3 linked regions of the Lepisosteus oculatus genome follow. The protein of the gene in region 3 binds, or shares a complex with, the protein of the main gene of each other region. Links are inferred from orthologs where the notes say so. Each region holds a gene or a part of one and is shown on either strand. Other genes may lie near its edges. The genes, in order: pierce1, cfap276 and tubulin alpha-1A chain.

The links.
Region 1: the proteins of tubulin alpha-1A chain (region 3) and pierce1 are in contact, whole or in part, in a cryo-EM structure (PDB 7UNG), measured with the Homo sapiens proteins. The link is inferred for Lepisosteus oculatus from reciprocal best matches to the Homo sapiens genes TUBA1A and PIERCE1. Residues at the interface, in NP_001257328.1 of Homo sapiens: Met1, Arg2, Gln15, Asn18, Ala19, Glu22, Cys25, Leu26, Glu27, His28, Gly29, Ile30, Gln31, Pro32, Asp33, Met36, Pro37, Asp39, Lys40, Asp46, Asp47, Ser48, Asn50, Glu77, Gly81, Thr82, Tyr83, Tyr224, Thr225, Asn228; in NP_001041730.1 of Homo sapiens: Tyr28, Pro35, Gly36, Arg37, Phe38, Trp43, Phe44, Arg45, Gly46, Tyr47, Arg48, Thr58, Ser59, Asn60, Gln61, Ala62, Tyr63, Gly64, Arg66, His71, Glu72, Pro74, Phe77, Tyr78, Pro79, Asn80, Ser81, Asn82, Lys83.
Region 2: the proteins of tubulin alpha-1A chain (region 3) and cfap276 are in contact, whole or in part, in a cryo-EM structure (PDB 7UNG), measured with the Homo sapiens proteins. The link is inferred for Lepisosteus oculatus from reciprocal best matches to the Homo sapiens genes TUBA1A and CFAP276. Residues at the interface, in NP_001257328.1 of Homo sapiens: Lys112, Glu113, Ile115, Asp116, Leu117, Leu119, Asp120, Arg123, Lys124, Asp127, Arg156, Ser158, Val159, Asp160, Gly162, Lys163, Leu195, Glu196, His197, Ser198, Asp199, Tyr262, Pro263, Arg264, Trp346, Lys430, Asp431, Glu434, Val435, Val437; in NP_001231954.1 of Homo sapiens: Pro43, Trp44, Arg46, Leu47, Asn48, Thr50, Pro51, Thr52, Ile53, Thr54, Ser55, Arg57, Arg58, Ala60, Tyr62, Asp64, Ile67, Pro68, Lys69, Asp70, Asp71, Phe74, Arg75, Lys90, Ser91, Leu94, Leu95, Asn96, Lys98, Thr99.

What each region holds. Positions count from the first base shown.
Region 1 is NC_090719.1:5,633,321-5,640,535, forward strand, and holds pierce1 (piercer of microtubule wall 2 protein), read left to right. Parts: upstream 1-4,194; 5' UTR 4,195-4,303; coding exon 4,304-4,428; intron 4,429-4,559; coding exon 4,560-4,638; intron 4,639-5,688; coding exon 5,689-5,877; 3' UTR 5,878-7,076; downstream 7,077-7,215. Other genes in the region: mrps2 (small ribosomal subunit protein uS2m), read right to left, coding at 1,113-1,650, 2,264-2,393, 2,650-2,772, 3,209-3,233. UniProt on the Homo sapiens protein: Microtubule inner protein involved in the attachment of outer dynein arms (ODAs) to dynein-decorated doublet microtubules (DMTs) in cilia axoneme, which is required for motile cilia beating.
Region 2 is NC_090700.1:30,600,137-30,607,498, forward strand, and holds the start of cfap276 (cilia- and flagella-associated protein 276), read left to right. Parts: upstream 1-4,339; 5' UTR 4,340-4,396; coding exon 4,397-4,477; intron 4,478-4,776; coding exon 4,777-4,893; intron 4,894-5,459; coding exon 5,460-5,575; intron 5,576-7,362. Other genes in the region: elapor1 (endosome/lysosome-associated apoptosis and autophagy regulator 1), read right to left, coding at 1,858-1,992. UniProt on the Homo sapiens protein: Microtubule inner protein (MIP) part of the dynein-decorated doublet microtubules (DMTs) in cilia axoneme, which is required for motile cilia beating. May play an important role for the maintenance of myelin-axon integrity.
Region 3 is NC_090696.1:15,178,784-15,186,300, forward strand, and holds the start of tubulin alpha-1A chain, read left to right. Parts: upstream 1-4,445; 5' UTR 4,446-4,563; coding exon 4,564-4,566; intron 4,567-6,639; coding exon 6,640-6,862; intron 6,863-6,964; coding exon 6,965-7,113; intron 7,114-7,231; coding exon 7,232-7,517. UniProt on the Homo sapiens protein: Tubulin is the major constituent of microtubules, a cylinder consisting of laterally associated linear protofilaments composed of alpha- and beta-tubulin heterodimers.

The sequences.
Region 1 (7,215 bases), on a different chromosome or scaffold from region 3:
CATCAATAACTCTTTAATTACTTTTGAGATTTGACTGCTCTTGATAGCTGCCAAGTAGGAGACTATTACAACACAACATATCAACGGAGGTACTTCATTAAATTTTATTAACACAATGAACAATGTTAACTTCATCTCCAATAATAATGTTGATGAAATCACACAACTATTCTAATGCAGTGGTCAGACAGGCTCTTGATGAAATTGCCCCGTTAAAGACTAAGGTAGTCAAAGCCACTAGTCACTCTCCATGGTATAATGATCACACACAATCCCTTAAACAGGAGTGCCGCAAACTAGAGTGCAAATGGAGGTCTACTGGTCTACAAGTATTCAAGTCAGAATGGATAACAATATAAGAAAGACCTATATAGAGCTTGTTTGGTCTACTACTCTGAACTTATTGAAACCAATAAAATTAACCCTCGCTACCTATTTAAGACAATAGCTTATCTTACAAATAAGACCGATTCTATAGTTTTTGGTTCCTCTCCTCCATTGTCTTCTGGTCTTTTCTGTTCTGTATTCACATGTATGCTTTGTTGAGTGCCTTGTTGCAACCTTGTTCTGAAAGGCACTATATAAATATTAATTGAATTATCAAAAAAGATTTCACAATATTAATGTACAGCCTTTCCATTGAAATTTAACCAGAGCTATTTTTAAAATTCAAATAGTTTTAAGCCATCAGATCCAGTCATACATCCACCTGAAAAGTTACATGTGGGGTACTAACCATGAGAAACAGATACTGTACTGTCATAAAGGTTCAAATATTTTTTATGGTACTTTGTTGCCTTTCACAGTCTTTACAACATTAGATGCAGCTCTTAAGGCTGCTGTTTTCCAAGTTTGAATAAATGGCAGACAATTTAGCTTTGTGGACCATTTATTGATTGCAGAACACCAGTTATGAAACCATAAACAGAAATACAAAAGTGAAGTATTCTGGATTCCTAAAGAAACTTTCTGAAAGGAACATTGCAAACAAAAAAAGAAAGAATATCACATTATTAAAAAACATACTTATATGCAGAAAGGGGGGACAATGTACATAGATGCAAAGGGCAATGCCAATGTCAATTGATACAATCTAAAAAACAATTCATAGATCATGGACTTTGATTACTCAGACTATGGAGGAGTTCCATTTGCCTCCTTTTGTCCTTGGCTCTGTTGATAGTCATTCTGAAGAGCTTGCAGTAAAGCTCTATACTTGCTGGCGTATCATCATTCCCAGGGACGGGGTATGTGATCAGACTGGGATTGCAGTTGGAGTCCACAATGCCCAATGTAGGGATGTTCATCTTGGCTGCGTCACGGATGGCCACATGTTGCTGAAAGACATTGTTGAGTGTGCTGAGGAAAATAATGACGTCAGGCAGCCTCACACCCTTCCCATACTGGACTGGGGCATTAGTAAGGAGCCCCCCCTGCCAGTAACGGGTGTGAGCATACTCGCCACAGTCCCTTGCCATTTTCTCGATCAGGTGGCTGAACTGTCGGTTGCGGCTGATAAACAGAATCACCCCCCCACGATATGCCACATGCGCAGTGAAATTAAGTGCCTGCTGTAGGTGCTCCACTGTTTGGTCGAGATCAATGATGTCCTGCTCCAGACGACAGCCAAATAAATAAGGTTCCATCAGCCTGTGGAAAAAAAACACAGGAAAGTGGTGAAGAACATTCTACACTGCAAAAAGATTTCAGTTTCTGACTTTCTCAAGAATATTATTTTAAATATAATGCAACTAAAAATGTTTTAAAATGATAAGTCTTTTTTTATAATTATTTCACAGAACCCATAACCTACACAAGTATTCCAAAAGTAATGGTACAGATACACAATTTTGAACATTAGTTTGATAATTGTTTGTCATTTTTTAAAGCAGCAAAGTTTGTTGACTGTCAGACTGTAACCCTTTTGCAGCAAAAACAGGATTGGTTTCAGTTTGTAGTTTAGATGGGCCAACTCTTGGATCCAGAAAAACTTGACATTTTAAGTGAAAAATAGAAACTAACAAGGAAAAGAGTAAGCAACATGTTGCCTTGTCCAAGTAAATTAAGGATTGCTGTTAAACAAACACATGAAAGGCTAGAAGATAATCTTGTTTGACTTTCAATAAAGGTACAGTACAACCTCTCAGAAATATAAAACGGAATCACTGAGATATACCTGGAACCCCTGTAAATGTCAAAGTAAAGGTGACTTCAAATATATAAATCCAGCTAAGGCTACTCCTGAAGGATTCATTTTCATTACCTGTGTCTACAGCCTCTTTTGTGACCCAAGTGAACTCTGGCCTCAAAAAGATCCTTCAGAGAGAACAGCTCTGATACACGAAAGAAGTCAGGATGTTTCAGGGGCTCTGTTAATAATTTCTCATTTCCAGCTACAGAAAACACCAAAAAGGAGAAAAACAGACAATTTATGTAAGGCCAGTTTCAATAACTATTATTGATACCATTAATCTGGGTGTACAACATTTCATTATTTTAGCAATTATCTAATGACACCAGTTTTCATTTTTTCAGCATGTAAACATTATAGTTCTAAATTTATATATGTTTTTTTTTCCATAAAAAGGATCATATATTGTACTCTGTGTCGAGGGAATCGTAACAACAAGCGTTGAGAAATCGGCTTACCTGAACTGTCAGCATGAGTCTGGTGAATCTGCAGAGCTGCAGTACCATATAGACGACCTAAGATACCCGATGACCCAGGCGCCACCCCACCCGCTAGGCCGGGACTCCCGAGCCTGGGAAAAGCTGAAAGACAAAAAACAGTTTCAATCATCAGTTCTTATTCTAATTAATACTTACATAAAGTAAGCTTAAATGTTTGTATGAAACACATATTGTGTGTGCCCAGTTACTGTGCTTTGCGTTAAATATATTACAATTTACAATAACGCTTTGTTATTTCATATTCGTACAAAACTTAATTGATCAACAGAATATGGTTTAGTGTTCAAGGTTACAAGATGTAATACATTGCTCAAGGGAAAGGTTCGGATTTACACTTACATGCCCTATAATAAAGTCACATTACAACTACGTCGTACTGCGACGTTAAAAAGTATATTATCATATCCTTTAAACACATTTAAGTACACACCTGAAAAAACGTCTATTCTTTTGTGTTTGAAAGAGGATTACAATTTGAACATTGTCGTTGCTACAAATGAACACCAATTAAACTCACCTTTTCTCAGTAAACCTGCAGCCATGCCTACTTATTCCTCCTTGTAGAGGTCAGAGGGTATTTTCAAAAAACTTTATTAAAATCAAGTGATTTTTTTAAGTCCAGCGTCTCCAGAGTTATGCTGTCCTCTACTGGTGTGGCTATGAATAGCCATCTCTATAAACTCAGCAGTTGCAAAAATGTGATTACCGTTTGAGCATCGTATACCATATACATAGGAACAAGTAATAGGTTTATTCCATGCTGAAAAAAAGAAGAAAGAAAACACAACGTTTCGGCCGTGGAGCCTTTTTCAGGTTGCTCACATCTGAAAAAGGCTCCACGGCCGAAACGTTGTTTTGTCTTTCTTCTTTTTTTCAGCATGGAATAAACCTACTTGTTCCTTTGCAGCCTACGCATGCTGACGCAGCTACCCACCTGAACTACCATATATATCAATTAACACGCGCCTTAGTGCCCCTGTCTTCTTAGTAATATGATAAATATGTTTCCTTGTTAATTGTGTATCGTAGATACAAGAATGTTATAACGACACTTCCTACTCATTAAAAATAGGTTGTTAATACGCACATCATCACATCATTGTATTTTATTATATTTGTGTTGTATGACGAAAGAGATCAGCTAATTCTTAACGTCATCCGTTGAACGGTTTTATATACTTACTAACAGCTAACACTAAAGGTGATATATGTCATAATAGTTGCCAGTTTCTCGAGGATTCACGGAATGCTTTGGATTAAATACCTTTATTAAGGTAATCCTTCTAAGGATTTGGCGCACTTAAAATTACCAGCGAGGGTCTATATTAATATTTATGTTTTGCACTATGCTACCTTGCTAAGGAAATGAATGAATCCTGCTTTGCAATTAACATGGTATTGACGACTCCTCTATCAAGTTTTATCTCTCGGGTTCAAACAGTGTGGACAATCTTGTGGCGATCCATTGAATGTATCACTTACCAATTATCCTACGTTACCAGGTTACTGTGTCTTAGCAACCGATTGTTTGTCAAGGAGAACTTGAACTGCATATTTCCTGGTGGACGAAGGCTCCCACAACTTTCCATCGTTTGTTATCACTGAGCAAAACATGGAAAATACAACACACACAGTGGAAGAAGCTAACAGAGTCTCCATCAAAACGAGCGATGTGTACAAAGTGCAAAAAAATCTGCCGAAAAGATTTGATAACCCCGACTGGTTCCAAGGGTACAGGTGAGCCCGTGTTCTTGATACTTACATTTTTAAATAGTGTAATTTAAATGCTTGTACTTAGCTAATAAAGTGAAAAGTAAGAGTTTTAAAGCACTCATTTATAGTTTCCATACTGTAACAATCCATTTCAGAGAGAAGCCACGTAACCCGCTATACAGGACAACGAATCAAATTTACGGGGGCAAGAGACCCACTGTACATGAAATGCCAGTAAGTTGAAAATTACCGTCCTTTATCAATCTGATTGTCAGACATATATTTATTAAAGTATTCAGCATTGCTTTTACTATTCAAATAATGTTTTGTCTGAAGAAGCACCGTTTAATTCAGAGTAACCTTATTTCAGAAGCATGACTAGTATAAAGACATACACAGTACTTCTCTGTTCTGGTAAGCTGTAGATTGGTATCTGGCAAAGGTCTCGACTGATCAATTATCATATTTCGCCTGGTGTAAGAGATTCAAAAATAGTTTATTATTATGGTCTACTATGAGATTTAATCAACAGCAAACTTGGCACAGCTTGGTGAGGTTATCTAATACATGGATATTAAACAGATAATAAACAGAATGAATGCAAAACTGAGATTTCAGTTGATCTTTATATAGGCAGGCCTGCTCCTTAAAATGTAGATTTAAACATTTGAATGTTTGCTATAAACTATTCGTGCCAGAAATAACATTTAGCATAATGTACCAATTTTATATAAAATAGAACCCTGCATTTTATTTTATCTCTAAATGAACCAGGTAAGTAAATTAAGAATAAATTCTGATTTGCAATGACCATCTGAAGACCCATGTAAACAGCTGGGCACTTAGCATTTTTAATGAAAAACTTTGCTCGAGCATACAAATATTTTAAAAAATTAGAACAGCAGGCACAAACTCTTTTACAAAAAGGAATCTGAAACAAGCTAATCAGCCATGTTTCTGGAGTCAGTAGTCTAGCTTCCTTTCAGAAATGGTTGAATGAGATACATGGACCAATAAGATACTAGCAACCAAACAAGCTTGACGAGCTGAATAATATCCGCTTATTTATAGCCATTTTCATGTTCTTATAGCAGCATCCTACCCATGGTTGGAATTTGTGACAATTCCCACTCGAGATTCCTAACCAATACCCTGTATTTCCAGATAACAATAAGCTTTTTCAATACACTTTCAAAATTTAACCCTGAGTTAAATATGGTAATGTGTGTTAAGTTTATATTTGAAATCTACATCTAAGAAACCTCTCTTTCTTTTTCCTAATAGACCACTTTTAATGGGAGTACTCGGCAGTTTACAGAATACCTAAGTAAATGTGGAATGTACAAAGACAATGGCTTCAACACATCAACTGAGAAAAGTTATGTGACTGGACCTAACAACCTCATTACATTTCATGACAGACTGAATTTTCAAACTTCCTATAATATGAATGGACCTTCTCACACTGGGTAATTCATTCAAAACTGCTAGTAACACAATTAAACATTTATTCAGTGATATTACTGACCTTCTCAGATTTCAGTCATATAATGGGTATTCAATGCGATGTTTTAAAATAATTTTTGTTTCCCTTTTAATTTAGTTCCAATGGAAATGCCATGTGCTAATAAAAAGTCTCACATGCTGAAATAAAATATCCTTTATTTTATATTACATAAAAGTGATGGTAAACATTGGAACAGTTCTGTAAAAACACTTGGAAGGCAATTACTGTGAATTGTAGATCTAAGAAACAACATCTGTATCTGTTTACAGAGACATCACAACATTCTCCAAATAAGTTCCTCTAAACTTATTTTTGTTAACAGCAAGTTAGAACAGATGGTTTTGAAAAACATCTTGAAATTGTCTGTCACAGCAAATTTTAAACTGCAGTCTTATCAAAAACACAATAATAAATACAAATGTTAAATATGAAAAAAGTAAACCAGAACTCACAATTTTAGTTAAAGGTATCACAGCAATTAAGGCAGAAGTAATTAACATAACTCCAAAACCCTTTGAAAATATATATGATATCCCTTAATTATGCTATTTTGTCATATGCTGCAGTTTGCAGTTTTTGGTAGGATTTCAGAAAACAGTTATTTCAAGTACAATAGAAACCCAAGCAACTGTTGGGGACTATTAAATTCTCTAATGGAATCTGAGATTACAAATACAAAAAACCTCTGAAGATGAGGAGCAAGTTCAACTTCATATTCAAAATATAAACAATGTTTATATATTTTTTTCTAAGTAAACAGGTGTTTTACAACGTTTTAAATGAAAATGCCTGGGAGGAGTAAACTTGGATATGTAAACTGGAATTCATTGCCTTTTGTTTTTTATGTGCTGACTGATTCAAGATTTTAGTCATATCTGGACAATTACCCTACCAGGGACAGAATACCTTACACAATTGAAGAATTTGTTGTTAATTTTTTGTTCTCTAGATGTGATGCTAGTTGGTTTAGAAGATTCTATAGGTAATGGAACAGACCAGTTAGGAGTTTTGATATTTATTTTTCTAACAAACTAATAGTGCTAATATTTTTCCTTTTTATTAAGATCCATCTTTTATTTTATCCAGGTATATTAATTGTATCCTCCATGTTCAGCACAACAATTGCTGTTATTTATTAAAACCAGTTTCATTAAAACAATCAAAATGATGTGTGGTTGATTTATGCTAAACAAAATCTATAACATTATTCCTTCCCCAGTGTGCTTCTCCTAAAAAACAATTTAGAAACAATCAACATCGCAGTTAACACAGAGTCTGATGAATGCTCATATAAATATAAAAAT
Region 2 (7,362 bases), on a different chromosome or scaffold from region 3:
ACTGAACCCAGCACGTCATGACTCATCACTGTGGCTCCTACTATTCACACATCTAACAGAAATGCATTACTAATAGCCTGCCGGGATACGCTCTGGTTCCAACGCGACCATGAACTGGGAGAAGAAGTTAGAAAATGCACTGATGGAAGTTACTAATAAGGGCCACGGCCACCTGGATCTTATCCAACAAATGTAGGATAAAAGGCAGGAATACACTTTGGATGGGACCAGTCCAGCACAGAGCATGCATCCACACAGGCAGGATTTAGAGACCCTAATTAAACTTGATGAGGTTTGATGAGGGGAAGCTCACACAAACACAGGGTGAACATGCAAACTCCACACAGACAGCACCTCAGGAACTGAACCCAGGGCCACCACAGTACAAGGCAGCAATGCTAACCACTGAGCCCAGCAGTACCATTATCACATAAGCATTAATACAAGATGAGCTCAAACTGATTTAAACATAGAAAGAAAAACTATGGCTCCTCAGCCTTCTAATGAAGAAGGCACAACAGCCAAAAAATCTGGGTTCTTTATTTCTACTTTTCAGTATGGAATTGACCTCTGCTGGTTATTTTGCAGGCTGTAGGGTAACGCAGAACCCCACTGTAACCTCTTCAGAATTTCAGTTACAGATGTGGCACCCTGGATCCAAACCAAGGTTATAAGTTAATTCCTAAAACAAACATATGTAAATTATAAAGACTTAAAAAATACCTATTCCAATTCATGTATCCAATGACTCAGATTGTTTTAAGGGTAGTTTAGATTCTCTTGCAGATTAATCGTTTTTTTCACATACCCTGCGAGCAAACCGATTTACAGAACTGTATGTATTTATAGATCTGTCAGTCCCACTGTAGTTTTAAATTGCCCCACTGTTACACTACTTATTACAAACTAATTTGAGATGGTACTACACATCTATTTCTAAGTACCTACTACACAGGTACTTAGAAATAGAAAGAAATAAAGAAATAGAAACTGATCGTTTGCTGTATTGTGTTTCCCTTAGGGAGTCCTCTTCGAAAAGGCGCTTTGCACAAAAGACTGCTGTGAGTTTTAGGATTTAGAATTTAGAATTTTCATTTGCAGAAAACGTGTTTTGTTCCATTTTTTGAAAGAATTATAAGGAAGGAAAATATAACATCTTTAACTTCACTCTGGTTAATGTCAAACTGCACTCCAACTGAAGGTCCATCTGACAACGCGCGTACACCTGCCTCGCACCATCTGTTTCTTTGGAGAACACATTCATTAAAGGCAATTTCACTGTAATCCTCGATTTTGTATGGGTTACTAAAATTAATCATGATTAATATATAGTTAATAAAGGTTTAATAGAGATCGTGGTACCCTTTTCTCGAATAAGAAATAGAGATTCTTTAAAGCATTTCTCACAAAGAGAAATCTATTGTGAAACAAGAACTATTTTTCTCAGGAGGTTTGAAAGCGGTAAGGCTTTAAAATTTGTCGACAGCCTGTCTTTCGAGACACTGCATGGGCTCTTTAAACAGACTACTGTACCGCCAGTGTTTTCAGACCTAGGATGCACATACATGCTGCCTAAAGATGATACCTGTTGATTATACTTGATTAAAATAAAATGCAAAACCACAGCGACAGCATATGGCTCTGCATACACCTGTCCAGGTGTCTCATCAATTTCCTCAGGCACTTGAGTAAACGAATATGGAAAATGACTATTTCAACAGGTGTTTTTTTTTCCACGTACAAAACGACAGCCCTGTAAAAGCTGGGGTAGTGTTTGAGCCCCAAAGACCCAGTCTTTCAGAGCCGGTTTTTATATATCTAACCCATTCAGAGCGTTCGTCTCGGATGGGTCCTTACCTCCTTACACATGGGCAGCTGTCTCTCCTGCGCTGTCCCCCCTGGGACAGACACAATCCACACAGAGAGGTAGCTGGAGACCAGGAGGCAGGTCGGAAGACTCCACGTCTTTGAAAATAGACCGTTTAAGCCCATCCTGTCTGTCTTCACTGAGGTACTAGGCGCTGTGCCTGGGATTCTAGTGAGAGTGACAGCCGATGAAAGCGATGGGAAGATACTGATGTCCCAGCGCTCCCGGATGCTCTTCCTACTGACTGAGCGCCTGTTTAATAGCCATCATGGCTCATTATATACACACCTCGGCACTGCGGCTCTCTGCCGCCACTCGGCGGACACGGGAAGTGCCGAAGCCGCAGGCAGCACAGGTGGGAATGAGGCGTTTCCACCTTTTCAGGCGCGCCACCTACTGTGCCCGGATTTACCACATAACAATAGGCAACCCGCCTTGTAGTCAATCTCTCATATTTTAATTGGTAAGACTTAATTTTACCAATTGACTGTTGCTACAGTCTGCCACTGTACTTTACAATACATTTGCTTGTTATGTTTCTAAAAATGCCAATCTTATTTTCACGAATCAAGAAGTAACTAAAATGATCCATTAATACATTTCCGTCCCTCCATTTTCTAACCGATTAACGGTCGCGGGGGAGCCAGAGCCAGGTAGAACCCGGACAGGACGCCAGCCCATCTAGGGGCACACACAGACACTCACACCAGTGCCAGTTTCCCAGAAGCCAATCAACCTTCCAGTAATTTTTGGACCGTGGGTGGAAACCAGAGCACCGGAGGAAACATACAAAAGTCACACAGAAATCACCCCATTTTCTGAACTGAACCCCGGGCCCCAGCACTGCAGCCGGAACACTAACCACTGCGCTACAGTTCCGCCGCTAAAACCGGATTAATTCGCTTGTCAGAATCCCAAGTGTCATTTCCTCGATGCCTAAGCAGCTTCTGATGTGCGTTTAATGGGTCAGTGTTGCGCTATGGGACATTGACCTGAAACTCTGCCCATCCTGACAGTGTACTGGGGACACAAACCACAGCGACCACCTGACAGTATAGACCCAGGGCTCTCGGGCCTCCCAGGGCAGAAACAGAAATTAAGCAGTCGCTCTCAAAGTCCTACTAAAAACCGCTTCAGACTTCCAGGCGCCCACTCTTCAAATTCTCCACTGAGGCCCTGTCTGAGCTAACAGCACACACACCCGTCGGAATCAATAGCTCCATTCAAAATAAACCGAAGACTCTGTGCTAACTGCAATTCAAAACTCGTGTTTGTGTTAACAAGGACAGGTGTAGATCTCAAATACGTTTCACAATACCCGGGGTTTACAGCAGGTTCTCCACCCAAGACAGCCTATTTTGTAGTTAGTTTTAGTTTCTTAAATCCACGGTCTAAAAAAATATGACAGGATTACAGATTAAGATTAGCGTTTGTAACATCCTCTACCAGCAGGTTCGTTAGCACAAGAGCTCCCAGATGGGATCCTGTGTGTTTGTCTGTCTATTTTATAGGAATGTTACACTCGCTAGGTTTTAAAACAAACCCCAGGTCCAGAATCAACCCATCTTCCCTTTATAAACGGTGCCGATATTGAAAAAACAAAACAAAACATTGGTTTGAATTTATTTCTCTGCTGAGAAGGCTTCACAGCCGAAACTTTGTGTCTCTTTCCCGCATTTTCAGCATGGAATAAACTTTAACCTGTTCCTTTGCGTCTTACATATGGTGACGCAGCTACCTACTCGTTTATTAATGATGGTCTCCTGTTAATAAGAAAGAAACTGCATCATTAATCCAGTTACTACTGGTTTAAATGTAACTGGTTGGTTAGTTTAAATTGGTTTAGATGTAGAAATTAGTTAATGTGTAAATAAATGCATTGCTGTGTATAGAATTACATATCGAAAGGTATATTACAAAATCCATGTCTAAACCGACATACACGTATCTCAATACTTAGTTATCAACGCATTTATTTCTTAATTGCTCATTTGTGTATTTTTATCTTCCCGGGCCTATATAGTCAGGTATACAATGTAAGCTCCTGTTACTGTTCATAAGGCTCTGAACAGTCTGGCTTCATCACACTTCTCTTAATTCCTTCATGTTTCTGTCACTGCTCCATTGTTATGGAATGCCCTTCCTCCGACTCTTCGAGAGGCAAATTCATTGACTCTTTCTCAAATCTAAACTTAAAACTCACCTTTTTACTAGGACCTAAATCTGATTGGTTTACAGTTTATCCAAAAATGTATGTTCCTGCTTCATTTTATTTACTTCTTATTGTATTGTTTTCTCTTTTTATCTCTATCATTATGTACAGCGTCCTTGGGTTTGGAAAGTCGCTTAATAAATAAAAGTTCTTATTAATCCCCTCCGCATCGAGAAGAGATGACGTTCGACGGGTCAAGTGACGTGTGAAAGTGACAAAGGACACGTCACAGTGGGTCTCCTAGCAACCCCAGTGGCCAGTGTACACAGTCTGAGTGTCCTGTAGGAAAAGTACAGAAAGTTCTGCCGCATCTAGAGATGCCACGATCTCGAGACCCCTTTCCGTACCCAAAATATGAAAACGACGACACCTTTATCGGTAAACCGAAGAACTGTCAGGTAAAACACAACGTGCAAACGTTTTTCGCTTTTTAATAATAAAAACCATATGTTCTCTGCACAACAATGAAATGCGTTGTATTAAGATAGGGTACATGTTGACAAAATAACTAAACATAATCGGTTTTTAATTTAATTGTCATAACAAATGTCTACAAAAACAAGTATATTTAATAGAAAAGCTTATTTCCAAAAAAAAATCATAGAAGGATCTGAAATTTGAACTTGTTTTACCAAAGGACTAATCTATACAGTGGGAGATAAAGTATTGACAGGCTCTCTCTACCTTGTTCCTTCAGAAGGTGCCCTACTCGAAACCCACTCACCTGGCACAGAACGAAGACCCCTGGAATCGTCTGAACGCCAGAGCTACACTGTCCAGCGCCAGAAGAGAGGTCCTGTATTTCGATCCAGAGGTAAGAATCACACACGTGCAGTCTGAATGAAAATATAGTCACATGAATGCATTTTGCATCATAGGATTTCATCCCGGATTAGTGTACCCTTCTGTGTGGAGTCTGCATGTTCATGTCTATGGCGGTTTCCTCCAGGTGCTACAGTTTTTAAAGACGTGTGGGGCTAGACTAACTCTTGGGTCTGTATAGAGCAGGAACACTTGTTTGAGCTACTGATGAACTAAACAAGTGAGACTACTTGAGGTGAACACTGGTCCTCAAGGGCTGGGAGATATTGTTCTGTTCCTGATGATCTCTGACTGACTGCTTTTTAAATTGATCATAAATTGCTCCCGGTCTTCATCCATTTATGATTTAAAGGCTGTAATATCTTCTGGATCCTTCGGTTAAGTGGTCTATAAATTGTGTGTATGGACAGTGCAATGCACTGATGTCCTGTCTAGGGTGAAAAACAAGACTTTCTGATCATGGATGGTTATCATGGTTACTAAAATGCTCAACCATGGGGCTGCACAAGCACAGCGATCAGCTTCTCTGAAAATGCATTTTCTGTCTTTGCCCCCTAGGTCCCGCAGGACAGGCTGGACTTCCAGCTGAAATCCTTGTACGACCACCACGAGGAGTTCCTGAAGGACAAGAACGAGACCCTGTACCAGAGAGAGACATTCACTGAAGACCACGGGTGAGATCACAGTGGCCAGGAGATCCAATCAGCCACCGACTGCGAGGTTTTAAGTGAGAAAAGTGGCACTTAACTAAAATCTATATTTTTTACATGCTTGTGTGCATCTCCTCTAGAGACTAATCATAAATTATAGCTAGGAGACAGGAAGAGGTGCAAGTGGGGCCAGCAGAGGGCGCTCACCCTCCAGTCTGTGTGAATCTTAATATCTCCAGTATAGTGATGGAGACCCGATACTGTAAAAAGGGTGTTGTCCTTTGGATGAGATGTAGCACAGACGTCCTGACTCTATGTGGTCATTAAACATCCCAGGGCATTTCTCAAAAAGTGTAGGGGTGTTATCCCGGTGTCCTGGCCAAATTTTCCATTGGCCTCCTAATAATTCCCATCTATGAATTGGCTTCAGCACTCTGTTCTCCTCCCCACTGATAGCTGGTGTGTGGGGAGGGTACTGGCACACTATAAATGCTGTCTCATCATTCAGGTGGGGCTGCATACTGGTGGTCGTGTAGGGGAGTCCCCATTACCTGTAAAGCTCTTTGAGTGGAGTGTCCCGAAAAGTGCTATATAATGTAAGCTATTATTATTATAATGTTGGTATAATAAAGTCAAAGACTAGTGCCAAAAGCCATAGTGGCAGCCCTGAAAAATGCTATAAGATAGCTTTCTGTGAGGCAGGGCAGATCAATCTGGCTTCTAATGTGCCGTTTTTATTCTAGCTGAATTCTTGTCCGCTTAATCAAATGTAGTGCATTCTGTATCCTGACCTTTTCATTTTCAGCTCTTCAGTGTTGGAAGGCTTCAAGCAATCTCTCACCATCTTACTAGAAACATGAGATCTTTGCTTTCAAGTTTTACAAGAGCTGAAACTGATTAAGGAAGGCTGACGGAGCAAATGATTAAACTGAGAGCCCATCGGGATGTTAAGCCAAACAGGGGTGTTAAACTGAGACAGGGATGTGCAATTCCATTCCCCAAAGGCAGGATCCCTGCAGCTTTTATGGGTCCTTATTCATTGGAAATGTATTATTTAGGGCAGTGGAAAGGCATGACTTTAATCAAAATAATTAATTAAATTCAATCCAATGAGAGGTGGAACAATAACCAAAACACTACGTGGCCCTTGAGGACTGGAGGTGCTCATCCTTCTTAGGTGTGGCAGCATTTCTGCTGTACCAGTTCTGTGAAGAACAAAGCTGAGGGAAAAAAGCAACATTCAGAGCACTAAACCTGCAAATTTAAGTCTTAGTACAACTACTCTTCAGAGATGCAAGTGAGTTGATGATTGATGTGGCAGACAGTCTTATTTGGCATGAACACTTTGCTCTTTCACAGTGAAGGAGTGCCTCCTATCCCACTCCCCCTCTCTTAGCTGAGGCTGAACCTGTGCCTGGTGTGAGCCTCTATTTGAGGATTTGAAAGATGGCCCTCGTTTCAGTATGAAGCCCCTCTGTTTTTTTAAGAATGATACACAAGTTTCCTTGTCCTCCTGGGTGAAGAAAAACTCATTGAAGAGAAATTAGTTCAGAAGCAGGACAGAACGATGGTAGAGTGATTAGCATTGCTGCCTAGCAATTCAATTCCTAGCTCAATTCCTGAACTGACATGTTGTCTGTGTGGAGTTTGTATGTTCTCTCTGTGTTCCTGTGGGTTTCCTCCGGGTGCTTTAGTTGCCTTCCACAGCCCCCAAAACGTACGGGTAAGTTAACGGGCTTCTGGACAAACTGGCCCTGGTGTGAGTGTGTTTGCGCCTTGTGTGTGTACCCTGTGATGGACTGGCGTCCTGT
Region 3 (7,517 bases):
AGCTGCCCCCAAAACAAAGCCAGTCTCTATAGATTTCTTTCCATGACACTGACACTTCTATAGACACCTTTTCAGGGACACTGATAAAGAAATGACATTCTTCAGGAAGGCAGCGACAAGACCGCTGTATTGGCAGACTGAATGTCAGTTATGGGCCAACACCACTGACAGACTCCGACTGGTTTTCCTTCTCTCCACCATTGCCGACTCCAGGGCCAGAAGCCCAGAAGCTCTGGCTCTGGGATTGACTGAAATCCACAGCTGAGCAAGGAGGACTGAGGGATAACATAACATCACTTTATTAGCCCTATACAATTTCTTGCATTAGGAATTTGTCTTTTTGCATACCCCAGCTTGCTCTCCATGAGTACCCCTGGAGCAGTTGGGGTTAAGGGCCTTGCTCAGGGGCCCAACGGAGTAGGATTCCTCTGCTGGCCGCAGGATTTGAACCAGCAACCTTCCAGCCACAGGCACAGATCCTTAGCCACAGAGCCACCACTCCGCCCTTATCACTCAGTGATAATGAGTGACCACTGAGTATCAATCACACAGCCAGCTCCTGTCCGGGAACCCTTTTACACAAGGCAGGTTTCCGTCTAAATGCAGACATTTTAAAAAACATTTTGCACAATTAACAAATCAGAAGGTGAATCCGTGGTTGGTATGTACTGTCAGTTAGTGACATTTTTGGCTTCAACAGATTTACAAGACATAACACGTGAAGGGTGATCTATGAGACCCGCTGGACTGTGTCTCTGCAAGGCCAGTGCTGATGCCATCTTTGAATTAGGCTGTGAGAGGGAGAGAGCACAGTAACGCCAACGCCACAAGCTCAGCAATGCCTGGCAACAGAAGGGCATATTACAAGACACCCACTGACATGCCAGACAGCTTCAGCTTGTACGGTTTGTAGAAACACCATGCAATTAGTAACAGCTGTGGGACAACAAGGTACAAAATAAATGAAACTGTGAATTCCAAACATGAAAACAATCACTTTAAAAGCCCAGATCTGGTGTGTGACTGGAGAGGGTCAGGAGTATGTCAGGCTATGTCTTGGGCGTTCTTTTCCTTTCCTATTCCTCTGCGCTACGTGTGAAACATGTCACAGGACTCCTGTCCCTTCTCGCTGGTGTAGGATGGTCAATGTGAGGAGCTCTGCCAGGGTGAGGGCGCGATGGGAGTGTCTTTATTTCCTCCGCCGAAGCTGCCCCCACCTCTCCTCATCTGCACTGTCATTCAATATCGGCCACGTGACCCACCGACTGCTAAAAGGGGGCTTTATGAAGCCTGATGTAGCATCTCCTGGGCTCTTACTGGTATCCTAGCAACTGAGCTATTCATTGCCTAGCAACTACAGGATACTGAGAAGGGGGCTAGGGGGTAGCCTTTCTCCTTCTTTGACTTTGTGTGTGCTGGGGCAAGATGGTCCAGACTGGCAGCCGGCCCTCTGGGTGCTGAAGAGATGGGATGTCATCTGCTTTGAGTAGTGTGTTCCAGACCCCCACAACCTTTAGTGTAAAGAGCTGTCTCCTGTTCTCGGGCGTAAATACACTGCCCCTTAGCTTCCAGAGCCTTTTCAGCAGCTCTGTGTGGTGCAATAGTCAATCAAGATGGGAAAAGACACCCTAAGTAGAAATGGCAGCGGGGAGTGGCTTATGGTAGAGTGATAAAACACAGTGATGAAAAGCAGAAATATTATAATAATCCAGATGAAGTCTGATACTTGTACATGATGCTGCTTAGCTTCAGGGCTTTCATATACAGCACGGGCTGACATGGCCTCCGCAACGTTGGTTTAAATTACTTCCAACTGAAATATTAATGTCTGCATAAATATTTCATCTGTATTGAGGGCTTTCCTAAAGACAAATTGCACCCCGAATCGCACAGTCATTGCAATCTACAAACTGCAGTTCTTTCTGCGATATTCAGGTCGGATTAACCAGTACTTTTCTCCCCAAAGGCGAGACTGGACAGTTCGTTCTAGGGCAAGGGTGGTGTGAAGTACAACTAAGCCAGTGGTACAGCAGTTTTTATTTTTTAGCTCTAAAAAACGTATATTGGAAACATGCAGTGAGCATTACACGTTTGGCTCTCACCCCAGCACATGGGGTGTCTTTGTTACCCGGCACTCGGTAGACACCCGGGAGCAGAGCCGCCACGGGGCCCGCGCTCGCTTCACACTCGGCGCCTTTGTGGCACGGCCGCGCGCCGCCATGGGCGTGCACCTGCGGCGCAGACTCCGCGCTTCTTGCAGAAACATTTCATCAGGAAAACCGCTGTAAAGGGTCCTTTTATAGAAACGTGATCTATATATATAGGGTTTTTACAATCGATGCTGACTGCTGACTTCTGCTTGCTTCAAGGGCAAGATAATGGAGCGCACGTGACGGCTAACGTACGGAAGAGCAGATTTTTATATCGCGACTTTTCTTTTTAATTTAGTGAAACCGATGCATTATAATAGATTTATTATGAAAGAAGAATACGGGAGTGTCTCTAATGAAAAATTGTTGAATTATTAAAAATTATAAACATTAAAAGCTATGGAAATTGGAGCCCAGTCAGAGACAGCGAGGTTTCACGGGAACAAAGGATGGGTAGCCAACTAAACACAGCCATGGGCGTCGCCGAATGTATGAGACTGTTACACCGCACGTTTATCGGGAACAGCAATCCGACAGAGCATGCAGTCATCACGTACAGCGCGCTGTCGCTTAGTCATCATAATTTAATACTTAAGCCCTTCGATCGCCTGTATAATTCAGCTGGTGTGCAGGCTCTTCCTGCGTGCTCCTCCGGCGCGGGCTGTCGGTTGCCCGGTCCTGTGGGAGCCGCAGGTGCGAGGGTGCCGGCTCTGTAGTGGGGGCGGGGCGGGCGCCCCAGATGAAAGCAGATGGCGCGTGGAGGAAGCCGCCTGAAGCCTGGAGCTAATATGCGGATACTGTGGGGGAGGCAACACAGCACATCTTCGGGTCCTGAAATATATATGCACTTAACTAAAGGTTTTATCATTCAGCTTTCTAAAATCGCTAAAACTATACAGATTTTTTTTTAATGAGGTAAGAAACTGCTTCACACCACCAATGTGCAGCAGTGGAGCAGTGGTTCAGGAGAGTCCCCATTACCTGTAGAGCGCTTTGAGTGGAGTGTCCATAAAAGTGCTATATAAGTGTAAGCAATTATTATTATTATTATAAAATGCGCCCAGGATTAGGGCCTACAAAATCTGTATCTGCTGGACTTGTGTGGCTCACAGCCGATGACAAAGTGCATCCAGCAGAACTCACACACATTACACACATTAAATGGGCGTATTTCTTTAATCTTAGATCATCTGTTTTCAGAGAGAGATTCCTGTTAAAAACAATAATCATCTCAGGCCTGCCTTCTGTCAGGCTAAGTGTCTCTGTCAGCCGGGAGCAGATCAAGTCACCGATGGCCGAGTGGGTTTAGTTCAGCGGTGGGTCAGTATGGCTGCGAGGGGCTGGCTACCAGTCCAGAGTGCAGTCGCGCCCCGAGACCCCTGATATCGGGAGCAGCTCGGGTCCTGCGAACGTTGCCCGGAAAGGGTGCTTTTCTGATTACGGGTGGACCTCGTCATCCCTCACGGGAGTCGATTTTCAGCCCCCCACACTAACCCAGAAGGTGACCCCAGGCGGAAGAGGGGCTTGTCCTCTAACATCACCTTTCACCCCCCGCCAGATTAAAGATAACACTGATCTTTTCTTATGATGCATTTTTAAAAAATACTAATGCTTCACGACTTGACACAGTTGAATTACTTCTGTAGGTACTGGGACCCTCCAAGTATTAATTACATATCTCAATTGATAGACTTTCTAATCAGTCATGAACTATGCGTCACGGTCCTGTAGTAATAGTATCACAATTAATTAGTTCAGGTGGGGAGCTGCGTCAGCATGTGCAGGCTGCAAAGGAACAAGTAAAGGTTTATTCCACACTGAAAAGAGAAGAGAGAACATACAACGTTTCGGCTGTGGAGCCAGAAGGAGCCAAAAAGCTCCACAGCCGAAACGTTGTGTTTTCTCTCTTCTCTTTTCAGCATGGATTAAACCTATTGTTCACAATTAATTATACACTTTGCTGATATAAAATATGGCAGAATATCCCCTAAATGCATCAATCCATGTGTATCACTAGTCCTCTTCAGAGATATGCCTCCTCCATTAGTGTTGCTAGACCATGATGAACTGATGCTGTTAATGCTTTACCCAAGTGAGCGACAGATAACTGTTTTCTCTATTGTCCGGACAAGGTGGGGGTCGGCAGGAGGGGCTTGTCCGGCCGGGGTGGTGCCTTAACCAATGGGAAATCAGATCCGCCGAGGTCTCCGGGCAGACAGCAGACACGTCGCCCAATGATAAAATCGCAGGCGCAGTCGCCACGGCAACGCATGTATATAATAAGCCGTTCACACCCATGTGCTTCACGTTCTCTTGCATCGACCTCCTTGCTGTCGGGTTGTGAGAAGACTCTCTGAACGGGCTCTTTCCCCCTCGCTCGCCTGCCAGACAAGAACTCCAGACGGCATAGAAAATGGTAAGGCGAGGGGTTTCACATTTCGGAACAATGGGGTTCCTTTGCTACCTTGCGTGTTGAAAGGAAAATGGTAGTCTGAGCTGTAGAAAGAAAGAGCAGCACTGTGGAGTTTTCTGGAGTGCGCGGCGAGGCTGGCTGTCTTGTCGCTGTAACTTGTCACCCTGCTCAGAGGGGTCCGCTTCATGTGCTGAACAGACGTGGAAGGGGTGGTGGGGGCGGGATTTTTGGAAGGGTAAAGCATTTTCACGACTAGGGCAGTTGCTTTTGTAGAAAATGCATTATAGAAAAAATCCAAATAACGAGATGACGGGGAAACAAGAGTATTTTGACGTACTGCCAGCGGCACACGGAGCTGTCTGAAATTGTGCGATGCCGGAACCCCTCGCCTCTAAGGCTCCAGTAACAATAGACCAGTGTTGGCCTCACTGGCGAGGACTGGGCTATGTGGTCCGAGAAACCCCGTCTCAGACAAAGGCGCACTTGACAGGAATGCGCTGTGAGCGGAATAAATTATCTGGGACACATCTGGGTGTTCCCCGCCTCTCGCAGTAAGACGTCCTGTCACTTCGGATTTTACAACCCCCACGCCCGTCCGTTTCTTGGATAAATCACAGAAATGGGAACGGACAGGTGTGTGTTTTCTATTTTTTTTTAAGTTTGAAGTCGAATGGATGGAGCTGTCGAGGACAACAGAAATGCGAGCCGACTTGGCACGCACTTCATCCGTCAGCGGCAGCGCGGCGCCTGAAAAAAAGACCGAAAGCCGGTTTGTTTTCATGTGAAGTGCTCTCCAGAGCACTAAAATGTCACACAGCTTCCGCTGCGCGTTGTCAGGGCGGCTGTCCGTGTGTCCGTTTCGGACCCCGGGGAGTGCTGTGGCCGGCGCCGAGATGGAGCAGAACCCCAGCGCGCGCCGCCTGGCTCGGGCGCGCGGCGCTCCGAACGCGCCGTCCTTTGTCTGGCGCGCTCTCACCCCCACCCATTATGTGCGTGAGCTCGCGCCAGCCGCCCCGAGCGCCGCGCAGGCTGGATCGTTCCTCCAGAGCTCCAAGCCTTGCACACAGCCAGCCAGCCAGCCAGCGAGCGCAGACTGGTACCCAAACCTTCGTGTTCGACTCTTTCAAGTATTAAGGGTCTTCTGCAGTTCGGCTCCGCTCTCTTGCTGTGCTTTTGTTAACCGGGTCAAGCAATGATTCCATGAAGTAAAAGCAAGGCTCTTTGTCTTGGATGTACAGTAGCATAACTGCCCGACAGCGGTATACATTTTCAGTGAAAAGAGTTGTGGTCCACACTAATATGAAGAGAGTAGCCCACATGGTAACACCTGCTTGTAGACTGTCAAGAGGGCAGGAGGCCTGCTGGAGTTACGATGGAGGTTTTTCCTCAAAGGGCTCATTATTGTGCTGCTCACTAGAGCACAATTCAGTACTGTGGCTGGGAAGGAGAAAAACGAGAAGATGCCTCTTTTTTTATAAAAGAAAACAAAGGATTTAGGTCAAACTACTCGGCAGAAAATCAACTGGGGAAAAAGGGCCAGGCTTTGTAAAGGTCTGTAACTATTAAAGAAAAACGTATTAAGATGGAATCAGTACAGAAATACAGATGAGTTGTTGAAAAACGGCTCTTGCAAGAAGGCCAATCACTAATAAAGAAAAAATAACAGCAGGAAATAATGCTTGGTAATTTGTCAGTAAATACTGGACTGGATTATAAATCAGCCTTTTCTTACACTATTTAAAAGTCCTAAGGCGTCCCTTCTTAAAGTTTAAAGTAAACAGATAAGCGTTTACATTAAAAGGTGAGATTTCTATGGATTTGTCTTTCTGTGCAGAACAGCAGCCTGATCAAAATATTTTAAATACTGAAATAGTGTTAAAATAGTCTAACCGAGGCAGTTAAATCAATGTCATTGATCAAGTAAATTAGAGAGGAAATCAAGATTGATGCATTGCAGGTGGTTGACACTGTATCCAAGCTGAGGTCACAGAAATGAGTAAGTTACAGGATTCTTCCTCTTCTGATCTTCAGCCAGCACAGTTCCTCCTGTTAACTGATCTCTTTCTCTCTTCACAGCGTGAGTGCATCTCCATCCATGTCGGCCAGGCTGGTGTCCAGATTGGCAATGCCTGCTGGGAGCTCTACTGCCTGGAGCACGGGATCCAGCCGGATGGCCAGATGCCCAGTGACAAGACCATCGGAGGCGGCGACGACTCCTTCAACACCTTCTTCAGCGAGACCGGAGCGGGCAAGCACGTCCCGAGAGCTGTCTTCGTAGACCTGGAGCCCACAGTCATCGGTAAGCTCTGCAGGCTGTGGAGTGGAGGGGGATCAGGGCTGTTCCTCTTCCTCCCTGCTCCAGAGCCCCTGAGCTCACAGCCCTTCACCCGTCTCTCCCCAGATGAGGTGCGCACTGGAACCTACCGCCAGCTGTTCCACCCTGAGCAGCTCATCACTGGCAAGGAGGATGCTGCCAACAACTACGCCCGTGGGCACTACACCATCGGCAAAGAGATCATCGACCTGGTGCTGGACAGGATCCGCAAACTGGTGGGTATCTGAATGAATGTTGAACAGCCCAAACCACCCGTGTTAAGAATTAAAAAGATTGAATGGAGAGCACGTCTGTCTTCTGCAGTAGTCAACCAGATGCATCTTCTCTCTCCAGGCTGACCAGTGCACAGGTCTGCAGGGCTTCCTGGTCTTCCACAGCTTTGGAGGTGGTACCGGTTCTGGTTTCACCTCTCTGCTGATGGAACGCCTGTCTGTCGACTATGGCAAGAAGTCCAAGCTGGAGTTCTCCATCTACCCAGCTCCCCAGGTGTCCACAGCTGTGGTGGAGCCCTACAACTCCATCCTGACCACCCACACCACCCTGGAGCACTCCGACTGTGCCTTCATGGTCGACAACGAGGCCATTTATGACATCTGCCGCAGGAACCTCGATATCGAGC